3 linked regions of the Oryctolagus cuniculus genome follow. The protein of the gene in region 1 purifies or fractionates together with the protein of each later gene. This does not show direct contact. Links are inferred from orthologs where the notes say so. Each region holds a gene or a part of one and is shown in the gene's direction. Other genes may lie near its edges. The genes, in order: SIKE1, STRIP2 and STRN4.

Region 1 (3,745 bases):
TCTCTGCTGTGGCCTGGGAGTACAGTGGAGGATGGCCCAAGTGCTTGGGCCCTGCACCCCATGGGAGACCAGGAGAAGCACCTGGCTCCTGCCATCAGATCGGCGGCCATTGGAGGGTGAACCAATGGCAAAGGAAGACCTTTCTCTCTGTCTCTCTCTCTTACTGTCCACTCTGCCTGTCAAAAAAAAAAAAAAAAAAAAGATGTAAAATTTCTGAAGAGGAACAACTATTGGAACACTTGCAAATCAATATAACAACACATGAGTCATTGCTATTCTGGTTAGTTTATTTCCAATTTTCTAACTGAATTAACAGCCACAACAAATTGACGGGACAAGCAGAAAATAATGATGACTCCACCTTACACCGCTTAGGGTGACTATTTCCAACAATAATGCTAATAATTAGCGTCAACAAGGAAGTGGAGAAATCGGAACCCTTGTACACTGTGGAAGTGTAATGTGGTGCAACCTCTGTGAAGAACAATACAATGATTTCTCAAAGAATTCTAAGTTGGATTAACAGATGAGTCAGCAATTCCAAACATATAGATCCACAGATGTAAATAAATCCATGTCTCCAAAAGAGCTTTAAGAAGGACCTCAGCGAGATACTTGCAACAGAATCATTCACAACAGTCAAAAGGTAGAAGCAACCTAGGTGTTTATTGTCAGATGAATGGATAACAAAATGTGGTATATACACACTTGCATAGAGGAGCATCATTCAGCCTTTAAAAAGAAGGAAATGTAGACACATTACAATACTCACATGGATTAACCATATAGCACTGTGTTCTATGTGAAATAAGCAATCGCACACACACACACAAAATGCCATATGAGTTCACTTATATGTGGTGCTTAGTCAAATTCATAGACAGAAAATAGAAAGGTGGTTTGCAGGGGCTGGGGGTGGGGAGAGGCCGGAAATGAACAGGGTACACCCTAAATCCTTTATACCTCTTTTTTTTTTAAGGCCAAATGCAGCCAACTCTTACCCAATCCTATGATTCTAATAGTGGGTGAAAGGTGATAACAGAAACAAGAAAAGGCATTTGTTTTGCTTTTTTTTTTCTGCTACCAGATATCTTTATTTAAGTGATTGTTTATTTAATTTCAATCAAGGACCCTAATACTGAATGGTAATAATTTTCCTTAAAGGGTACAGCGTTTCAGTCTCACAAAATGAAGAGTTCCAGAGATGGATGCTGGGATGCTTGAACACTGGAAATGTACTTAATACTACTGAACTGTACACGAAAAACGATCCCGATGGCACATCGTAATGTGTGTTTTACTACAGTTTTGTTAACAGTTACATGGAAAAAGAAAAAGCCAGGCACGACAGAAAAACAGTCGACATCAATCAAAACCAACAGGGAGAGGAGTTCAGGCTCATCCCGCTACTGCTGAGCTGGACCACCCGGCTGTGGGAACGGGAAAGCAAGGGCGTGGCAAGGGCGTGGCAAGGGCACGCCTCGGGCTCCGCGCCGGGCGGGGCTGCAGGGAAGCCGCAGGTTACTGCAGGTCACCCGGCGGACCGGGCGGCCACTGCGCAGGCGCTTCTCGACGTACCGGAAGTGACGCTTGTGTCGCGGAGACAGGTTCAAGGGAGAGCTGAGCAAATAGCGTAGGTGAACTGGCCGGGATTTGGGTCCGGCAGCCGCTATGAGCTGCACCATCGAGAAGATTCTGACGGACGCCAAGACGCTGCTAGAGAGGCTGCGGGAGCACGATGCGGCCGCCGAGTCGCTGGTGGATCAGTCGGCGGCGCTGCACCGGCGAGTGGCTGCTATGCGGGAGGCGGGGACAGCGCTTCCGGACCAGGTCAGGCGGAGGGTAGCGGACCAGGGCCCTGGGGTTCTGGGCGCTTGAGGAGTGGAGAGCGAGGTGACGGGGGACCTCGGCCCGCAGTTTATCCCTGGTCTCAGGGCGGCAGGAAGACCTTTCTGCAGGGTAGGGGCTGGTGATCCTGCCCTGGCGCTCTGACTCCTGCCTCTTCAGCTGCGTCTGCCCCAGTTCTGTTTACAGTGCGCTTAGGCTGTCTCTGTTTGTGCAGTATCAAGAGGATGCATCCGATGTGAAGGATATGTCCAAATACAAACCCCACATTCTGCTGTCCCAAGAAAACACACAGATTAGAGACTTACAGCAGGAAAACAGAGGTGAGTCAGGCCTTTGTGTGGTTAGGATTGTTTCACGTCTGGGAGTGGCGAAACTACCCTAAATGTATTTTCAGGTCAGTACTTTTACTAGGAAAGTTACCGTGTGCTGGCCCAGTAAGAAGCTTGTTAGATTACCCGTTCCAAGGTTTGTTTTTATAAGCAGCTTATCAAAGAGACGCTTGCTTGAATTGAATTATTGCATGGCTTTTTTAGGTACCCCCAGATGGAGGCTTGCATGACGACACTGTATATCCTTAAGGGCTTAAAGTTGAATGTTTAGATATTAACGTAATGAACCCTGATGTTAAGTTCGAAGGTTTTGTATATGTTCTTACACATGATGGAAGAGTGGAATTCTATCCTCAGAATATATATTTGCATTCTTAGGTTGATGAGTGCATTATTAACGACGTTAATAGTACTAGTTGTACAGCGCTTTACAGGGGGCTTTCGTATATGTTATTACCCTGTAGTCTCCTGTCTTCATTTTGAGGTAGGCAAGCCAGGTATTTATACAGTGCCTTTAAGAAACAGGCTCAGAGAAGTTAAATGAGTTACTTATGAGTGGTAAGCAAGTAAGGCACAGAACTGAACTCAAGCCGGTGTTTTTCTGATTACACACCCCCATGTTGTTTCTGCCAAACTGCTGCCTCTACCTAGAAAGTTATTTTTCATGTAGACTTTAGCTGTTCAGTTTGCTACAACTTTGGGTTCACAGTATCATGGAGTGTCATCGAATTCCACCTATCAATAGTTAGCCTTTGGGATCTGTCTCACAGCCTTCACTGTTCAGTTATTTTGTTTTGTATCTGTTTGGTAGAGCTCTGGGTTTCCCTGGAAGAACACCAGGATGCTTTGGAACTCATCATGAGCAAGTACCGGAAACAGATGCTACAGTTAATGGTCGCTAAAAAGGCAGTGGATGCTGAACCGGTCCTGAAAGCTCACCAGTCTCACTCTGCAGTAAGAAACTTGGATGCTAAATTCTAAATGAACTGAATGAAAATCTTGAGATTGTTTTAGATCATGTCCATTTTTTTAAAAAATAAAAGGCAGGTTTATTACATTCAGTGTTTATTTGCTGTGGCTTTGTAAAGCTGTGAATAGAAGGGCATGAGTGGCTCCTGAGATCCTTTAATTTGAGTGGGGCTAACGTCCCTCCATCCTTCGCTAAGATCTGTTTTTAAGATGTTAATGAATGCTTAGCTTTTCCAGCAATTTCAGGTAGTGCTGAAGGTGGTGCCCACAGTGGCAGAGTGGGTAAAGCGGCCGCCTGCAGTGCAGCATCCCATATGGGTACTGGTTTGGGTGCCGGCTACTCCACTTCCAATTCAGCTCCCTGAGCAGTAGAGGATGGCCCAAGTGCTTGAGCCCCTGCACCCACATGGGAGACCCAGAAGAATTTCCTGGCTTCTGGCTTTGGATCAGTGCAGCTCTGATCATTGAAGTTCATGGAGAGTACATATTATTTAAAAAACTGAATGAATTTCAAAACTGCACCAAAAGAAACTAACTGCTTAATTCTAGTTTACATGAACTTTTTGAGGTATCTTCATGGTTGGTTGAGTATTACTTGC
Region 2 (3,645 bases), on another chromosome or scaffold:
AACAAATAGGCAACCCAAAGACTATCAGTTAATGCTAAGTACAATGAATGCAATGTAAATAGGACGACACGATAGCATCTGTAGACTACCTTAGGTTGGGCACTCAAAGTAGGTAGACCTCTGAGAAGGTGACTTTTCAGCACGATCTGAAATGTGAGAAGAAGCCAGACGTAGGAACACCGGAAGAAAGAGCCTTCCAAGCAGAGGGAACAGCAGGGAGCAGCGGGAACAGAGGGGAGCGCAAGGACAGAGTGTCTGGAGAACTGAGCTGAGGGGTGGGGTTGTGGAGGCAGAGTCAAAGACGTCACCTGAGACTTTACACAGGACCTGTAAGCAAAAGTGGGGAAGCTCAGAATTGGTTCCTGGCACACGGGAAAGCCTTTTGGGTTTTAAGCAGGGAAGCAACATGATCTGATTTATGCTTTTATTATTATTTAAAAAGTTTAATTATTTGAGATAAAGAGAGAAATATAACTCCCATCTGCTGGTTCAAGCTCCATGGCCTATAGTGGCCAGGGCCAGGCCAGGGCTGAGGCTGGGAGCCTGGAACTTAATCCACATCTCCCATGTGGGTGACAGGAATCCAAATACTGAGTTATCACTGCTGCCTCCCAGGATCTGTGTTAGCAGGAAGCTGGATCAAGAGCCAGAACCAAGAATCCGACTCAGGTTCTCTGATGTGGGATGCAGATATCTTGAGCAATGTCTTACTCACTAGGCTAAACTCCTACTCCAATTTATGTTTTTCAAAACTATTGGCTCAGGGGCCGGTGCTGTGGCATAGGGGGTTAAGCCACCACTTCCAGTGCCACCATCCTATATGGGTGCCTGTTTGAGTCCCAACTGCTCCAGTTCCCATCCAGCTCCCTACTAATGCACCTGGAAAAATCAGCAGAGGATGGCCCAAGTGCTTGGCTCCCTACACCCACTTGGGAGGCCTAGATGAAGCTTCTAGCTCCTGGATTTGGTCTGGCCCAGCTCCAGCTGTTGCTACCATTTGGGGTAGCTGATGGAAGACTTCTGTCTCTGTGTCTCCACCTCTCCTTCTCTTTAACTCCACTTTTAAAATAAATAAATAAATCTTTAGAAAACAAAAGAACAACAAAAACAAAAACCCATTGGCTGCCACGTAAAGATAGGACCAGAAAAGAGTAGAAGCAGGGAGACCAGATAGGCAGCTCTTAAAATGGTCCAGGTGAGAGATGATGGTGACCAGCACTGGGGAAGTATTTATGAACATGGAGAAAAGTGAGTGAACTTGGGCTATATTTTAGAGATCTAGCTGACAGGACTTGAAGTTCAATTGGATGTAGACAGGCAGAGAGAGGAATCCAGAGTAAGTACCCTTTGCCAAGATGGGGAGGAATATTAAGAGTTCTGTTTTCATCATACTAAGCTTTAGACGCCTGTTAGCTATCCAAGAGACACTGCCAGGCAATCAAATATATAGGTCTGGAGTCCTAGGGAGGAGGCTGTTTCTAGAAATAAATTTGAGAGTCACTGACTTACAGACCATGTGAATAGCCCTAGAACCAGCTGCGGTGACTCAAGGAAGGAGCAGAGACAGAGAAGAGCATGGAACCCTTGACAAAGCCCTGGGACAAGCCAATGTGTTGAGAGTGGGGTGAGTTAGAAAAGGAGCCAGAAACGAAGAGTAAGAAAAACACAAAGTGGGAGCAAACCCAGGAGACGGCGGCATAAACACTAGGTGTTTCAGTGCAGGCGTTTGGCATAGCTATAAGATGCCAGTTGGCTCAGTACCCAACCCTGCTCCTGATTCCAGCTTCCTGCCACTGTGCACCCTGGGAGGCAGCAGCCTTGGCTCAAGTCCTCGGCCATTCACACAGGAGACCCAGATTGAGTTCTGGGCTCCTAGCTCCGGGCTTCAGTCTGTATTAGCCCTGCCTCTTACAGGCATTTGGGAGTGAACCAGTGAGTGGAAGCTCTATCTCTCTGTCTCTTTGTGTACCTATATCTCTGCCTCTCAGATAAATAAGTAAAACTGAGGGGAAAAATGGCCACAGACAGTTGTGCATGGGGGGACTCGTCAGAAAAAGAAAGTGCTGTTGTTGGGGCTAATGGAAAGAAGAAGCTAGTTTGCTTCCACCTAAAAGCTTCCCTGCAAATACTCCTCCTGTCCCTCTGGGTTATAAGTCACCCTTATGAGCCTTCATTGTTGAGCCACCTACCTCTTCTTCCTGGATTACAGAGCGTTCTATAGCTCTTGGCTCCCCAGGTGGACACCGTGGAAAGTACCTCTGTGTGCAGCGTCTGTTCCAGTATCCCAGGCATACCTGTGGCCTACTTGAGCCCATGTGTGTCCAGGGTGGTCCTTCTGGCCTGTGTGTCTGTCCAGCCAAGCAGTCTTCTGACCCAGCTCTTGGGAGGAAGTTGTGACTCCTGAAAGAAATTCTGGACTCACGCCAGGGAGTGGAAAAACCGGAATCATACATTGTGAGACCCAGAAGAGCCAAGAAAGGCCATGCTGACCAGCCTGCTGATCCTACTGAAGAAGAAATTAGGACTTGGAGAGGAAGGTGACCTTTCCAAGGTCGTACAGTGAGCCATCAACAGCTCTAGGGGGAGAACCTAGGTCTGACTCGGCCCCCGTGCTCTCTGCACGCCACCCCTCACGACCTGGCCTATGCAAACCGTGTGTTTCTGCCACAGGGGGAAGAGGTGGTTCCAGAGACGCCGTGTGAAATCCTCTACCAGGGCATGCTGTACAGCCTCCCCCAGTACATGGTAAGGAGCCAGCTGGGCCACCGCAGCCCTTCTCCACTGCCAGGAGCACACAGCCGGGAGCCGTGTCAAGCTGGCTGTCCGCCCTTTGAGCTTTTCCCTGAGATTTCGCCCCTCGGCAAGGCATTCTGAGCTTTCCCCAGGGCCCCTCTGAAGGAGCTGTTCTCCCTCCTCTTTCTTTGGGAGGGGTGGACGACAAGGTGAGCCTTGTAAGGGCTGAGTTGGGGGCCCTCCTCCTAGGTAAGTGCAGAGTCCTCTGAGATCTGCCAGGGCCGCCAAGGCCTACATAGCCTCACGCTGAAAGTGGGGGCAGTGCTGCCAGTCAGGGTGGTGGGAGGAGTTGAGCTTATCCCTCCCTGTTTTTGTGCAACCTCCCCTTTGGATAGAGCAGTCTTGAAGCAGAGCAGCCTGTCAACTCCCTGTGGCTCCCTCCCTAGCCTAACAGGCAGGCCTCTCAGGACTGGGCACCTGTTTGCCCTTCTGGGTGCTGGGGAGATTTGATCCCCAAGGGAAGAACATAGGGAAAGGCTTGAAAACGCTTCCCATGGGGCTGGTGAGGTGGGGAGAACCACCGCCTCCTCTTCCGCTTCCCAGATCGCTCTGCTTAAGATTCTGCTGGCCGCAGCCCCCACCTCCAAGGCTAAGACAGACTCTATCAACATCCTGGCAGACGTCCTGCCCGAGGAGATGCCGTGAGTGCTTCCACCGGGCACTAGCTGTCTTGTCTGTCCCCGCCCCTCCTTGTGAACGCTCACGGGATCGTCCCCAGCGAGATCTCCCACTCCCCGGCAGGCCTCTCTGCTGTGCTCTTTTTAGCTGAGGACGGAGGGCCTGGAGGGCGACCTCCGTGCCAGTGACTGGCAGCCCAGGGATGTGGGTGGACACTGCCAAGGGACGAGCTTC
Region 3 (3,645 bases), on another chromosome or scaffold:
TACGTCGCCTCCTCTGGGAGACGTCTCCCACCCTGCTCCTCTCTCGATGGCCTTAGCCCTGGTGTCGGTCACCGTGCGTGTCCCACGTGCCCCGTGGGCCGGCTCCTCCCCGTGGGGGTCTCTGCCTCCACGTGCCCTCTGTCTCCGTGCAGTAGACTGTGGGAGGCAGTGAGGAAGGCCTGGCTAGGAGCCTGGACAGACCCAAAGACCCCCCGCCCCCCACGGGTGGGACTTGGACCCAGGCTTCTCTGTCTCCGCTTCCCTTCCTGACTCGGCCCGGGTGACGAAGGGGCCCTGACTCTGGATTGGCGAGGGGGTGATGGACTGGAGCCCGTGTGGAGCAGGCCCCCTGCACCCCCGGGGGGGCAGGTGTTAGCGGCTGCACGAGGCACTTGGTCCTGGTCCCAGGCGCTGCTGGGGACGTGGTTGGACACACCCCACGGAGCAGCTGTGGTGGCTCCGGCTTCTGTGCCGCCCTGATGCCCGCCGACACCAGCCACTGCCTTTCCGGGCAAGCTGATTGGTCCTGGGCCCTAGGTCACCCCATGTCCCGCCCCTCAGGTCCCCTCACAGACGCCCACGGGGTGTCGCCCCCGAGTCCCCAGCTTGTGGGGCTGACTGCGGGGAGTGTCAGCGGCTCCCTGGAGTCCGAGGCTGCCGAGGCTGGGGGCCCAGGTTGCACCTAATGGCCTGGGGCGGGCAGCTGCTCCGTCCTCACCTGTAGTACGGGGAGGGTAATCGCGGTCACCACAGCGGCTGCCCTCAGCTTGTGATGAGGCTGTGCACTCGGTGGGCGCGTTGGATCTGGAGCGGGAGTACCCTCGGCAAAGCCAGGAGGAGCCCGCGGTGGAGGGCAGCGCTGTGTGCCCGCCGGTGGGTGGGAGGCCGCTGCTGAAACCTGCCAGCAGGGGGCGCACCGCGGTCAGAGCTGGCGGGGAGGCAGGAGGCAGGAGCCCAGCTGTGTGTTCCCTGCACCTGGTGGGCTTGGTCTTCGTCCGAGCCCCTGACCAGCTGGTTTTACCGTGCCGCAGCTCCCATCCAAGGCGCTGGCGCCCGAGATAGAGGATGAAGACGAGGAGGACGACTCTGAGGATGCCATCAATGAGTTTGACTTCCTGGGCTCAGGCGAGGATGGGGAGGGGGCCCCAGACCCTCGGCGCTGTGCTGCAGACGGAAACCCCCATGAGCTGGGTGAGTGGGCGACTTCCTGGCTGGCCTCTGCTCACCTTCCACGCCTGCCTGCCTCGTCCACACGCAGCCACCTACAGCTGCTTCCTGTCCCAGGTCTCCACCGGACGGATACGCTTCCTTAGAGGAGAGGGCCAAGGAGAGCGGGCGGGAGCCGTGGGGCTGGCTGGGAAAACCCCGTGGGCCACGGCAGGCGTCTAGTTGTAGCCCGGCTCGAGGGGAGAGCAGGATGAGCGGCTGGTGGGGCCGGGCCGTGGCTCCCTCTGTCCTGTGACCCCTGGCCTGCCTGGAGACCCTCGGGGGTGACATGGGATGGTAGCTGGGGGCCTCCTCCCCCCCTGAAGGTCCCAGCTGGCCTTTGTTTCCTCTGCCCTTCCCGACCTGGGGCCAGCACTTCAGCACCACCCCCTACGGTTGCAGGGAGGCGCGGGGTGGGGGCGGCTCCTGTGCCAAGCCGGGGAACTGGTGGGAGACTCCTGCCCCCTGCCTCATCCCTGCAGAAAGCCGTCGGGTCAAACTCCAGGGGATCCTGGCTGACCTTCGGGATGTGGACGGGCTGCCCCCCAAAGTGACAGGCCCCCCTCCTGGCACGCCCCAGCCCCGGCCTCATGAAGGTAAGAGCCCCTGCCCCGAGCCTTGCCCCGTCCCCTGGGGCCCACGGCAGAGGGAGGCTGCAGAGCTAAGCCCAGGGCTCCCGTGTCCTCAGGGTGAGGCCCAGCCTCCAGTCTGCAGCCTCCCTGTCCCAAAAGTTGGTCTGTCTGTCTCTGTCTCCCTCTTTTTGTCTGTCCTGCCCCAACTGTCTGTCTGTCTGTCTCTCTGTCTCTTCCTTTCCAGCTGTGATTCTTGGTCTTGTGCCCTCCCTGCCTCTCTTGCTGGCCCCTTATCTCTCTCTGCCTCTCTCTGTCTCTCTCTCGCCCTGGCCCTCTCCGCCCCGCCCCTCCCGCTACCAGGTTCCTTTGGCTTCTCCTCAGACGTCTTCATCATGGACACTATCGGGGGCGGGGAGGTGAGCCTGGGGGACTTGGCGGATCTCACCGTCACCAACGACAACGATCTCAGCTGTGACGTAAGTCCCTGGGGTGTCCCGTGCCAGGCCCAGGCTCAGTCCTCTGTGTCTGAGGACATGGCGAGGTCGCCCAGCTCCTGTTCACCTGGTGACAGAGGGGAGCCAGGCAGATGGGAGGGACCCCGTGGCCTGTGGCCTGTGGCCCGTGGCCCGTGGCCCAGCAGCTTCGGGGGCCTGCGACTTCCTCGTGGTGCCGGCTCCTCCCTTCCGCAGTGATCTGGGATGGAGGAGGGTGCAGGTGGGCCAGGCCAGTGTGGGGTGAGTGGGGCTGGGGGAGGGCCCTCTGGGGCAGCGTCCAAGCCTGGAGTCCTCCTCGAGCGGGCCCCTGGATGTCCCTGGTGTGGCACAGAGTGCTGGGTCAGGGGTGCTGCTGGGGGGTACAGCCGCGAGGCTGGGCGGAGCTCCTCGCTCTGCCCGTGGACCCGGGCTCTGAAGGACTGGTGGCCGTGACGGCCCCGGCGCCTCGGGTGGACTGAGCCCAGCTTGGGCAGGGCGCTGAAGCCCACGTGGCAGTCTGCTCGCCTCGCCATCAGGGCACGGGCAGTCCGTAGGACTCGCCCACGGAGGCCTGTTGATTGGCTCCCAGACCTCCCCCAGCCCGCCCCGTGAACCTGTGCCTGCTCTCCTGCCTGCCCCTCCCGAGACGGCGTGGCCTCTGGAGCTGTCCGCCTGCAGCCGCCGCCACCTTGCCCCAGTCGCAGCCTCTCAGGCGGCGGTCAGAGCAGCCTGCTTGCCATGGCCGAGAGCAATGAGGAGAAGCAGAGGCTGGGCGTGGCTCGCATTTCTGGCTGCTGCTGACCTCTCTGGTCCTGCCTCCCGCCACCTGGACCCTTGCTCTCTGTGTCCCAGCCATCCTGGCTCCTAGGTGCTGGGCTTGCCCGTGCTGCCTCCTGTATCTTTTTCTTTTAAAAGATGTACTTATTTGAAAGGCAGAGTTAACAGACGGAGGGAGAGACCCTGCATCCGCTGGTTCACTCCCCAGATGGCCAGGCCGCAGCCAGGAGCCTGGGACTCCATCCGGGTCCCCCACGTGGGTGCAGGGCCCAAGCACTGGGGCCGTCCTCCGCCGCTTTCCCAGTCCACGAGCAGGGAGCTGACCCGAGGCAGAGCAGCTCCGCTGGCTTAGCCTGCTGTGCCGTGGCGCCAGGCCTGCCCTCCCCATCGCATTGAGCCTGCTCACTGTTACCCCTCAGGAAAGCCTTGTTGACCCTTGACCCCTTCAGAGGCAAGGGTGGTCTCCCAGGAGCCAGCCTCTGTGGAGGGTTGTTGAGTGGGGCGGGGACTGTGCCCAGAAAGAGGAAGGGGAGAGCGCCGGGCGGGCGAGGCGATGCTGAGGCGGCCCTCCCCCAACAGCTGTCAGACAGCAAAGACGCCTTCAAGAAGACGTGGAA

What was found.
Region 2: the proteins of SIKE1 (region 1) and STRIP2 purify together in Homo sapiens (affinity purification with mass spectrometry; 3 studies listed by BioGRID and IntAct, with this or other methods). This does not show direct contact. The link is inferred for Oryctolagus cuniculus from reciprocal best matches to the Homo sapiens genes SIKE1 and STRIP2.
Region 3: the proteins of SIKE1 (region 1) and STRN4 purify together in Homo sapiens (affinity purification with mass spectrometry; 3 studies listed by BioGRID and IntAct, with this or other methods). This does not show direct contact. The link is inferred for Oryctolagus cuniculus from reciprocal best matches to the Homo sapiens genes SIKE1 and STRN4.

What each region holds. Positions count from the first base shown.
Region 1 is NC_091438.1:55,562,735-55,566,479, forward strand, and holds the start of SIKE1 (suppressor of IKBKE 1), read left to right. Parts: upstream 1-1,063; 5' UTR 1,064-1,671; coding exon 1,672-1,830; intron 1,831-2,062; coding exon 2,063-2,168; intron 2,169-2,988; coding exon 2,989-3,131; intron 3,132-3,745.
Region 2 is NC_091434.1:165,658,202-165,661,846, forward strand, and holds part of STRIP2 (striatin-interacting protein 2), read left to right. Parts: intron 1-2,670; coding exon 2,671-2,745; intron 2,746-3,336; coding exon 3,337-3,434; intron 3,435-3,645. UniProt on the Homo sapiens protein: Plays a role in the regulation of cell morphology and cytoskeletal organization. Required in the control of cell shape. Calmodulin-binding scaffolding protein which is the center of the striatin-interacting phosphatase and kinase (STRIPAK) complexes.
Region 3 is NC_091449.1:10,658,095-10,661,739, forward strand, and holds part of STRN4 (striatin-4), read left to right. Parts: intron 1-1,031; coding exon 1,032-1,191; intron 1,192-1,688; coding exon 1,689-1,802; intron 1,803-2,138; coding exon 2,139-2,254; intron 2,255-3,607; coding exon 3,608-3,645. UniProt on the Homo sapiens protein: Calmodulin-binding scaffolding protein which is the center of the striatin-interacting phosphatase and kinase (STRIPAK) complexes.